Linked DNA regions of Canis lupus familiaris. The protein of the gene in region 2 purifies or fractionates together with the protein of the main gene of each other region. This does not show direct contact. Links are inferred from orthologs where the notes say so. Each region holds a gene or a part of one and is shown on either strand. Other genes may lie near its edges.

Region 1 (4,744 bases), on a different chromosome or scaffold from region 2:
TGCTTCTCCTTCTGCCCCTTCTCCTGCTCATGCTTTTTCTCTGGTTCTCTGTCAAATAAATAACATCTTTAAATAAATAAATTAATTAATTAATAAGGAAAGGCTGCCTGTAAGCTGACAATTGGGCAGAGAGACCTGAAGTGAACAAGGGAGTGAGCTATCTGGAAATGCGGGGAAACATGCTTTGTGCAAAAGGAGTAACATATTCAAAGGCTCTGGGGAGAGAACTTGGTGAAGAAGAATGTAAGGTGGTCAGAATGGCTGCAGTTAAAAGCAGGAGAGACACCTGGGCAGCCCAGTCGGTTAAGTGGTTAAGTGGCTGACTTGGTTTTGGCTCAGGTCATGGTCTCAGGGTTGTGGGATGGATGGAGCCCCACCTCAGCAGGGAGTCTGCTTGAGATTCTCTCTCTCTCTCTCTCTTTTTCTAAAATAAATAAATATTTTATTTAAAAACAGCAGGAAGATGAGACATGGGGGAGGGGGGGTGGAGATAGGACCATTCATGGCACCACCCATCCCGTAGTCCAGTGCCTGCACCTGAATTCCACAAGACTCAGGCCTGGGCCTGCAACGGCCCCTTCCCTGATATCCACCAAGCTGCTCCCCCAGTTCCCTTCCCTCCTGACCCCATCCCCCTGCAGACTTTCAACACTCCTGGTCATTCCCTCACAGTTTCCCCATTAGACAACCAGTCCATCTAATTAAAAAAAAAAAAATCTGAGTAATAGATTCAGTAGGAAAAAAGGCAACATTTAACCACAGCCCTCCAGAGAGAGGAAATGTACCCTAGTCCGGAGCAGGGGTTCAGAAGGGCAACTGTAAAAAATAAAGTCCGCCACATGACAGCAGGGCATCCGGGCTTCGAGGTTCTGTAAACTGAGGGACAATAATCCTTGAAATAACCTTGGGAAGTAGGTATGGAGGGGAGACAGGAAAAACATGACCAGAAGAGGCCCTTACTAAGAGCTGCTGTCTGGCTTTTTTTTTTTTTTTCCTTAAGATTTTATTTATTTATTCATGAGAGACACACAGAGAGAGGCAGAGACACAGGCAGAGGGAGAAGCAAGCTCCCTGCAGGGAGCCTGATGCAGGACTCCATCCTGAGACTCCGGGGTCACTCCCTGAGCCAAAGGCAGGTGCTCAACTGCAGAGCCCCCCGGGCATCCCTTATAGAGATTTTCCTCTTATTTTTGTGTTACTGTTACCTTTCTTTAAAAAAAAAAAAAAAATTTTTTTTTTTTTTTAAATTGGAGTTCAATTTGCCAACATATAGCATGACACCCAGTGCTCATCCCGCCAAGTGCTGGGCACTGAGGGGGGTGGGGGGCACTTGGCGGGATGAGCTGCCGGCTTTTTGATCTAAAAGTGAACCTGAGTAGGGTTAGGTCCCTCCTGGGGTTCTTAAAGTTACCCCTCAGAGAGTCCATGCCTAAATACACATCATCAGTTACTTTTATTTCAGAAACAAAAGAAAGAAAAAAAAAAAAAAACCACGCCGGCAACACTCCTGAAGTCTTCCGGTGCCCCCCACCTCCCAGCCCCCCCAAGCCAGGACCTGCGGCCTCTGCCTCCCGGGGCGCGAAACCTAGTCTTGGCGCCTCTGGAAACCTTGGATGCAGCGGGCCGGGGCGCACCCTCCTGGGGCCGGGAGCCGGGAGCCGGGAGCTGTCCAGGGGCCCCGGCCGGGCCCCGCGCGCCCGCCCGCCGCACCGCCAGCGACCCCCGCCCGCCGCCGCCGACTTGAAGCGGCCCCGGGCGGGAGGCGGCACCGGGGGCCACTCGGCGGGCAGCCCGCGCCCCGCGCCCCGAGCCCCCCGCGCCCCGAGCCCCCCGCGCCCCGCCTGCGCCCGCGGGCTCCCACGCTCCCCGCCCTCGCGCGCGCCCGCGACCCGCTCGGGCTCCCCGGCCCCGGCCCCCCGCGCGCCCCGGGCCGCCGCCGTGCGCGTCTCCCTCCCTCGGAGCCACCCGCCACCTGGCCGCCCCCCGCGGCGGGGACCCGGGCCGCGCCCCGCTGCCGCCACCGTGCAGGGCCGCCCGCTGCGCCCCCTCCCGAGCCGCGACCGCCCTTCGGGGCCCCCTCCCCGCCGTCCTCGCGGTCCCAGCGGCGTCCCCAGGCGCGTCCCCAGGCGGCGGGGACCCGCCGTCTCCCCCGAGGGTCCCGGGCGCCCCAAGCGCGCCCCCTGCCCGTCCCCATCGCTGTCCCCTCCCCGGGGCGCGCTCGCCGAGGGCTTCCCTCCCACCCGCGGGTGCGGGAGCAGAAGCCGGGGTCCGAGCCGCCGGCCCCCCTCCCCGGCGCCCCTCCCGGCGCCCCTGCCCGGCTCGGGCTCCCGCTCCCGCTCCCTCTCCCGCTCCCGCAGCGGCCGCCGGGCGCTGCCCAGACTTCCCCGAGTGCGGAGCGCCCCGAGCGCACGCAGCCGCCCCCGGCTCCAGCCGCGGCGCCCCGGGGGAGCGGGGGCGCGGGCAAAAGTGTCTCCGCGGCGCCCGGGGCGCCCCCCGGCCCCGGGGCAGGGCGCCCCCTCGCGAGCCCCCCGCCGAGCCCCGGCCCCCGCCCCGGCCGCGCCGAGGTCAGCGAGTCGGGGCGCGGCGCCAGCGCAGGAAACTTTACGAACCTGCCCGGGGGTCGCAGGACGGCGGCGGCGGCGGCGGCGCCCCGCGGCCGCGGAGGGGGCCCGAGGCTGGGTCCGGCGGCTCGGGGCCGCGGCGGGGGGGGGGGGGGGGGCGGCTCTGCCTCTACCCCGTGCCCATCCCCGGCCGCGCACACGCACTCACCCTGGGGCCCCGCCGGCCGCCGCGCCGCCGGCCGCCGCTGCTCTCACTTCCTCTTCCTCCCTCCTGCTGGCCGGAGACACATTGTGCATCTGCAGGCATCCCGCGGGCGGCCGCCGAGTCCCCTCCCGGGCGGGCGGCCCTGCCGAGGGGCCGCCGCCGCCCCCGGCACCTGCGCGGGACTCGCGGGGTTGGCGCTGTCCCCGCCCGCGCGCCCCGGGAGCTGCCGCCGCCTCGGCCCTGCGGGGCGGGGGGCTGCGGCGGGGACGGGGTGCGGGGCCGCCCACCACTTTCCGAAGTCCCCCTACTTAAAAATAAGGAAAATGTCAAGCACCGTGCACGCCTCAGATCGGCTATAAATAATATGTGTGCAGAGCATGACTTCTCGGATGAGCTCACACGCGGCGCTTTGCAGGCACTAATTAACTCCGTCACCGTCATAGCGCCACCTCCGGGAGGCCGAGGGCGCGTGGCGTCTTTTTATATGCTTTCATTTTTGGCAGCTGGCATGCAATTTCGAGGGGGTGGGGGGGGAGACTTAGGCGGGTTGTTTTAAAGCGACTTTAAAAGGCGTTTGGGCTTACCCCGGAGCGGCCTGGCGAGGGTAACCCAACCTCTGCTGCTCTCTGTTGGAGCCCCCGAGGCATGTGCGCCCTGCAGTTCTCATCAGTGACCCCAAGGACTCCCTAACTTGGCATGACTTTTCACGAAGCGAGACGTTCTACCCTCCCCAGCTCGGTATTGGGGGTGCACTGTCTAATGCGACCCACTCCAGTGATTTTTCAAAGCAAAGAATCAAAAAATACTAACTCCCAGCCTAGCTGCCAAGGAGGCAAGTGACAGTGGTTGGAAGGTTGCAGGAGAAACACCTGTCCTTAACAAATTCAAAAAGAAAAAAATAGCTATCTACCCGAAAAGACAAAGGCGGTTACTAATGCATTCCCTTCAAACTGGCCAAGTTGGTAACCCGGGAGCAGGGAGGCATTGGCCTCTAAGGTGGAGGGTAAAACTCCTGCTTAAATTGCAGTCCCACCCCCTCCCCTGTGCTGGCAGCCAAGAGCCCCAAGCAACTATTGAACACTCCAAATGTGGCTCGCCCTGAGATGTTCTGGAAGTGGAAAACAGACACCGGACTTTGTATGAAAAACAGAATGTAAAATAGCTTGTTAGAAACTTTTATGCTGATTATAGCATTTCAACAAATGCTAATAGTGTAAGATGTGATCAGTCCACTGGGTTATTTTATTAGGTTAAAAAATACATATATATAATATATATATGTAAAATGTATATACAAATAAAATATATATAGTGTAAATATATACAACATATATATAATTTAGAATATTTTCACTATTTTCTTTTTACATTCTTAAATGTTTTTAAGATTTTAGTTCTTGGGCAACCCAGGTGGCTCAGTGGTTTAGCACCACCTTCAGCCCAGGGCCTGATCTTGGAGACCCGGGATCGAGTCCCAGGTCAGGCTCCCTGCATGGAGCCTGCTTCTCCCTCTGCCTGTGTCTCTGCCTCCCTCTCTCTCTCTCTCTCTCTCTGTATTCTCATGAATACATAAATAAAATCTTAAAAAAAAAAGATTTTAGTTCTTTAAGAAGTTAGGTTCTTTAAGTAATCTCTACACCAAACATGAGGCTCAAACTCACGACCCGGAGATCAAGAGTCCCACGCTCCACCGACTGAGCCAGCCAGGCTTTTTACATTTTTAATGTGGCAAATAGAAAAAGTAAGATTACACAGATGGCTCTCGTTAGTGGCTCACATTCTATTTCTAATGAGCAGCCCTGATCTGACCTCTTACTATATGCATAACCTCTGGAGGCAATATTAGTACCGGGAAGATTTGGGTCCAGATCATTATAAGCCAATAACTTAAAACAGGATGATTCCAGAAAAGTAATTTATCTTCCCTATTTCCTCATCTGTAAAATGATAATGATATAATAACAGTAAACGGGCTAAC
Region 2 (4,490 bases):
CCCCATCTGCAAAGCCCTTTCGGCCATGTCACAGAACGCATTTACGCGGTCTGGGGGTTAGGGCATGGACATTTTGAGGGCCGTTATTCTGACCTTCACACCAAGAGAGGTGAGCGCACCATTCTCAGGTGTGACTCTAAAACACACTGCATCTTTTTACCTCATTTTAGGAACAGGACCAATAATAGTTTTATTAGCGTTGAGACCTCAGACTCTGCCTAGCTGGGGGATGATGGAAAAGTTCACCTGTGCCAAGCTTCCCCCCACCACCACCACCGCACTCCCGTGAAGGCAAGTCAAAATTCCTCCCTGTGTTAATTAACCAAATCTGTAAACACTGACCCACTCAACTCAAGCCCAGGGGGAGACATTAACAGGCTGGAAAATTTCCTGGGGGCAACCCCAACCCACACTGGAATAAATGGGGGGCCTGGGGAGAGACCAGCACTTCCTGCCTTGCTGAGGAAGCAACAGATCAGCTGTTTACTCTTTTCCCCATTTTGCAAAAAAATAAAGTGTCTCATTTACAAACAATGCTTCTGACAGATTCCAAGTACATGCAAACAATGAGCTGTGATTCATGTTTCCAAATGAGATGGAGTTTTATCATTTTCTTTCCCCTCGTGATTCATTCATGCCGCCAATCCAGTGGCCGGAGTGGAAGCAAGGCCCACCCACGACCCGCCACAGCCCTCGGAGGAAACACAGCCCTGTTGTTAGGCTCCCCCAAAAAACGCTGTGGTTGGTAAGGGGGATGGCCAGTACTTTTCCCTTGGGCGGAAACAGCCTGTTAGCTAATGCGAATGAATCCCTGCCCCCCAGCACTGCTGGCTTCCCTTCCGGCGAACCAATGGGACCCCCCAGTGCCAACTCCCAGAACAGTGAAGAGCTTGGGCTGACCCGGATGTGCGCATCCTCGCTCGCCTTGCCTTCTGCCCAGAATCAGGAGTTGCCTGACGGGACTCTGGTCACTGAAAGCTCCTTCTGATGCTGAACACGCTGTGCTGTGCTGTCCTGTCCCTTCTAGGGCCTTCTAGCGCCTTCGGCTGCCTGGGCTCTGCCCTGGTGAAACCAAGCCTAGCGGGCCACTCTCTCCTCCACCAGACTGCCGTGCGCACCTGGTTCCTCGCATTGCCTGGCAAAACCATCCAGGACGCTGTCCTTTGGAAACTTTCCAGCACAGACTTTTCTTAAAACCACAATTAGCCAAAGGTGTGATGTCAGAAGTCACCACAGTGAATGCTAGCGAAACTTCTGGAAGTTGTGGGAGGAGGTTCGTGGGGAGGGGACACAGCCATGTTCTTGCCCAGGGTCACCTCCCCAGCAAGGAGACCCCGCTCACTCTGTCACGGGGTGCTCCCTTTGGTCCTCTCCACGGGACAGTCATGCAGCTCAACAGGTGCCACACCTACAGTGTCCTCCCTGACACCAGCAGGTCACCCTGGGAGCCAAGGAAAGGTGTCAGGTATCAAAAATGTTGTGCTCCAGGGAGAAGCCCCTCCCCATCTCCTGGCCTCCGTGCGATGGCCTAAGTTCCCCAGCCAGAGTCCCATCCCAGAAGTAGCACTCAGCAGAGGTGTGAACACTGGAGTTTCTCTCTGCCCCTGTCAAGTGGGAGTGGCACTTGACACTTGACACTTGCAGTGTCCCAGTGCACAGGGAGGGGGGAGGCAAGCCCTTGGCCAGAGCTAGAGCTGCTGCCTGCCTCCTCCACAGGGCTGTCTGCGGTCGGGCTCCTCTGCTCCCTGCCCCTGCACTCCAGGCCCCCCTCCACCTGTCCCTGCCGTGTCCCCGTCCTCGGCTCACTCCTCACACACCTCCGGCGAGCTCTCCACGGCGGGGACCCCCAGGGCCACCACACCTTGAAGCAGTCCTGGACGGACAGAATGTGCACCCCACACCTCCTCCGTGAGCTGCAGAGGGACCCGACGTGTCTATCAGGACGGCTGAGACGAAGCCACACGGAGGCACCCAGGGCGCTGCTTACACACTCGGAGCCCTAAAGGCCACCTGTGCCGCTGACCTCTGTGCCCCTGTCTGAGCCTCCGCCTCCTCGTCGCTACAAACGGGGAGGGAAGAGAGCCCGGCCGCAGGGGTCCCTGGAGCGAGGCGGAGGGCCCCCTCCCCTCCCCTCCCGCGGCCCCGCAGGTGGAGCAGGTGGATCGGGGCCCACCGCGGCACTGTCCACAGCTGGGGGTGGGGACAAGCCGGTCACTGAGGGCCCCGAGGGCCAGGGCCGCCCGGAGGCTTCCCCAGGTCGGAGCAGCCCAGCTGTGGGGCCAGGCCTGGCACCCCGGGAGCGGGCGACAGGGGCCCCGGGAGGGACCGAGGTCACCAAAGTCAGGCGTGGGGGGGGGGGGGGCAGCCCCCGGGGGGGGGGGGGGGGGGGGGGGGGGGGGGGGGGGGGGGGGGGGGAGGGGGAGGGCGCCGTCGGGGCGGCCTCGCTCGCTCCCCCGCGACCCGCCGCCCGACTGCCCCGGCGCTGCGGGGACCCCAGAGGGCGGCGACCCCAGGCTGTCCCGCCGCGGGCCCGCAGCTCCCGCCCCCCCCCCCCCGCCCGCCGCTTGCAGCCGCCGCCCTCCCCGAGCGAGCCCTCGGGCGCAGCCCCGCAGAGCCCCCCAAGGATGCGGCCGGGCGGGGGGTGCGAGCGCGCCCCGCGGGGCCCCGAGGCTGCAGGGCTGCGCCGCCGGCCGGTGCGCGGGGCCGGGGGGCCGGGGGGACGGGGGAGACCGGGGGGACCGGGGGGACCGGGGGGACCGGGGGGACCGGGGCGCGTGTCCCGGCCGCCTCCCGCGCTCTGGGGCCGCCGGCAGCCGCTCGGGGCGCCCCCCCCGCCCCCGCCGCCGCCCCCGCCCCCGCCCCCGCTCACCGACGCCGTATTTCTCCTCCCGCTTGGTGGGCACCCAGCGCGTCATGGCGCCGCCGCAGCCGCCGCCCGGCAGGAAACTCCGCGCCTAGGCCGCCATCTTCCATTCCCTCCGAGCCGCCCCAGGATGGGAGGAAAAAGTTTGCGGCGGAGGCGGCGTCATGTGGGACGGGGCGGGCGGGGCGTCGCGGGCCGGATGGGAACGGCCGGGAGCGCCCGCGGGAGGCGGCCGGGCTGCGGCCCCGAGCCCCGGCCCTGCGCGGGGACCCCCCGACCCGACCCCGACCCCGACCGCGGGGACCCCCCGCCCCGACCCCGACCGCGGGGACCCCCCGCCCCCACCCCGACCCCGACCGCGGGGACCCCCCGACCCGACCCCGACCGCGGGGACCCCCCGACCCGACCCCGCCCCCGCCCCCACCCCGACCGCGGGGACCCCCCGACCCGACCCCGACCGCGGGGACCCCCCGACCCGACCCCGACCCCGCCCCCACCCCGACCGCGGGGACCCCCCGACCCGACCCCGACCGCGGGGACCGCCCCGACCCCAACCCCACTCGGACCCCGACCCGCGGAGACCCCCAGCCCCGACCCCCACCCCGACCCGCGGGGACCTCCACCCCGACCCCCACCCCGACCCCGACCCGCGGGGACCTCGACACCGACCACCACCCCGACCCGCTGGGACCCCCCGACCCCACCCCCACCCCGGCCCCGACCCGCGGGGACCCCCCGCCCCGACCCGCGGGGACCCCCACCCCGACCCCCACCTCGACCCGACCCGCAGGGACCCCGACCCCCACCCCGACCCACGGGGACCCGCACCCCGACCCACGGGTACGTCGACCCCGACCCGCGGGCACCCCGGGTCCCGGAGGCCTCCTGGGGGCCAGGCGGTCCCAGCACGACAGGGGGGCGCCCTGGGCGGGGTGGGGGGGTGGGGGGGGCAGCGACAAGGGGGCGATCTGCGGGGCTTGGGGTCCTCCCCGCACGGGCACGGGGACCGCGAGGGGGGCCTCCCGGAGCGGCGCACAGGGTCCCCCCACTCTGAACTCAGAGTGAGCACCTGCCCGTTGGGGGAGGAGGAGGCGCGGAGGAGCCGCGGGTGGGAAGGGGAGCTCCGAGCTCGGGGCGGGAAGGGGGGCGCGAGGCTGGTCGCGGGGGCTTCCCAGGGAGGTGACCCCTCGCTTGCGTGTGGAATGAGGGCAGTGACCCAGAGAAGCCCCGCCGAGGCCCAGCGACCCCGTCCTCCTTGGGCTCGCAGACACGAGTGCGAGTGTGTGCAGGAGGGAAACTGAGGAAGCGGGAGAGGAGCCAGAGCAGACGCGCAGGGGCTCTGGGGAAAGGGGCCTTCACCCTGCAGGCGGGTTCTCACACCCTGGCCGTGTCCACACCAATAAATAATGGGGCTTCACACTTCTCCAAGGAAAAACTTCAAACAGGGGCGCCTGGGTGGCTCAGGGGTTGAAGGTCTTCCTTTGGCTCAGGGCGTGACCCCGGGGTCCTGGGATCGAGTCCTGCGTCGGGCCCCCCACGGGGAGCCTGCTTCTCCCTCTGCCTGTGTCTCTGCCTCTGTGTGTGTGTGCCTCTCATGAATAAATAAATAAAATCTTAAAAAAAAACA

The links. Proteins that work in one complex are often made in the same cells at the same time.
Region 1: the proteins of DOCK1 (region 2) and ELMO1 purify together in Homo sapiens (affinity purification with western blotting; 12 studies listed by BioGRID and IntAct, counting the BioPlex papers as one, with this or other methods). This does not show direct contact. The link is inferred for Canis lupus familiaris from reciprocal best matches to the Homo sapiens genes DOCK1 and ELMO1.

What each region holds. Positions count from the first base shown.
Region 1 is NC_049235.1:48,789,995-48,794,738, forward strand, and holds the start of ELMO1 (engulfment and cell motility protein 1), read right to left. Parts: upstream 2,896-4,744; 5' UTR 2,859-2,895; coding exon 2,770-2,858; intron 1-2,769. UniProt on the Homo sapiens protein: Involved in cytoskeletal rearrangements required for phagocytosis of apoptotic cells and cell motility. Acts in association with DOCK1 and CRK. Was initially proposed to be required in complex with DOCK1 to activate Rac Rho small GTPases.
Region 2 is NC_049249.1:36,263,873-36,268,362, reverse strand, and holds the start of DOCK1 (dedicator of cytokinesis protein 1), read right to left. Parts: upstream 3,020-4,490; 5' UTR 2,916-3,019; coding exon 2,870-2,915; intron 2,227-2,869; exon of another isoform or gene 1,818-2,226; intron 1,442-1,817; exon of another isoform or gene 1,343-1,441; intron 1,136-1,342; exon of another isoform or gene 1-1,135. UniProt on the Homo sapiens protein: Involved in cytoskeletal rearrangements required for phagocytosis of apoptotic cells and cell motility. Along with DOCK1, mediates CRK/CRKL regulation of epithelial and endothelial cell spreading and migration on type IV collagen.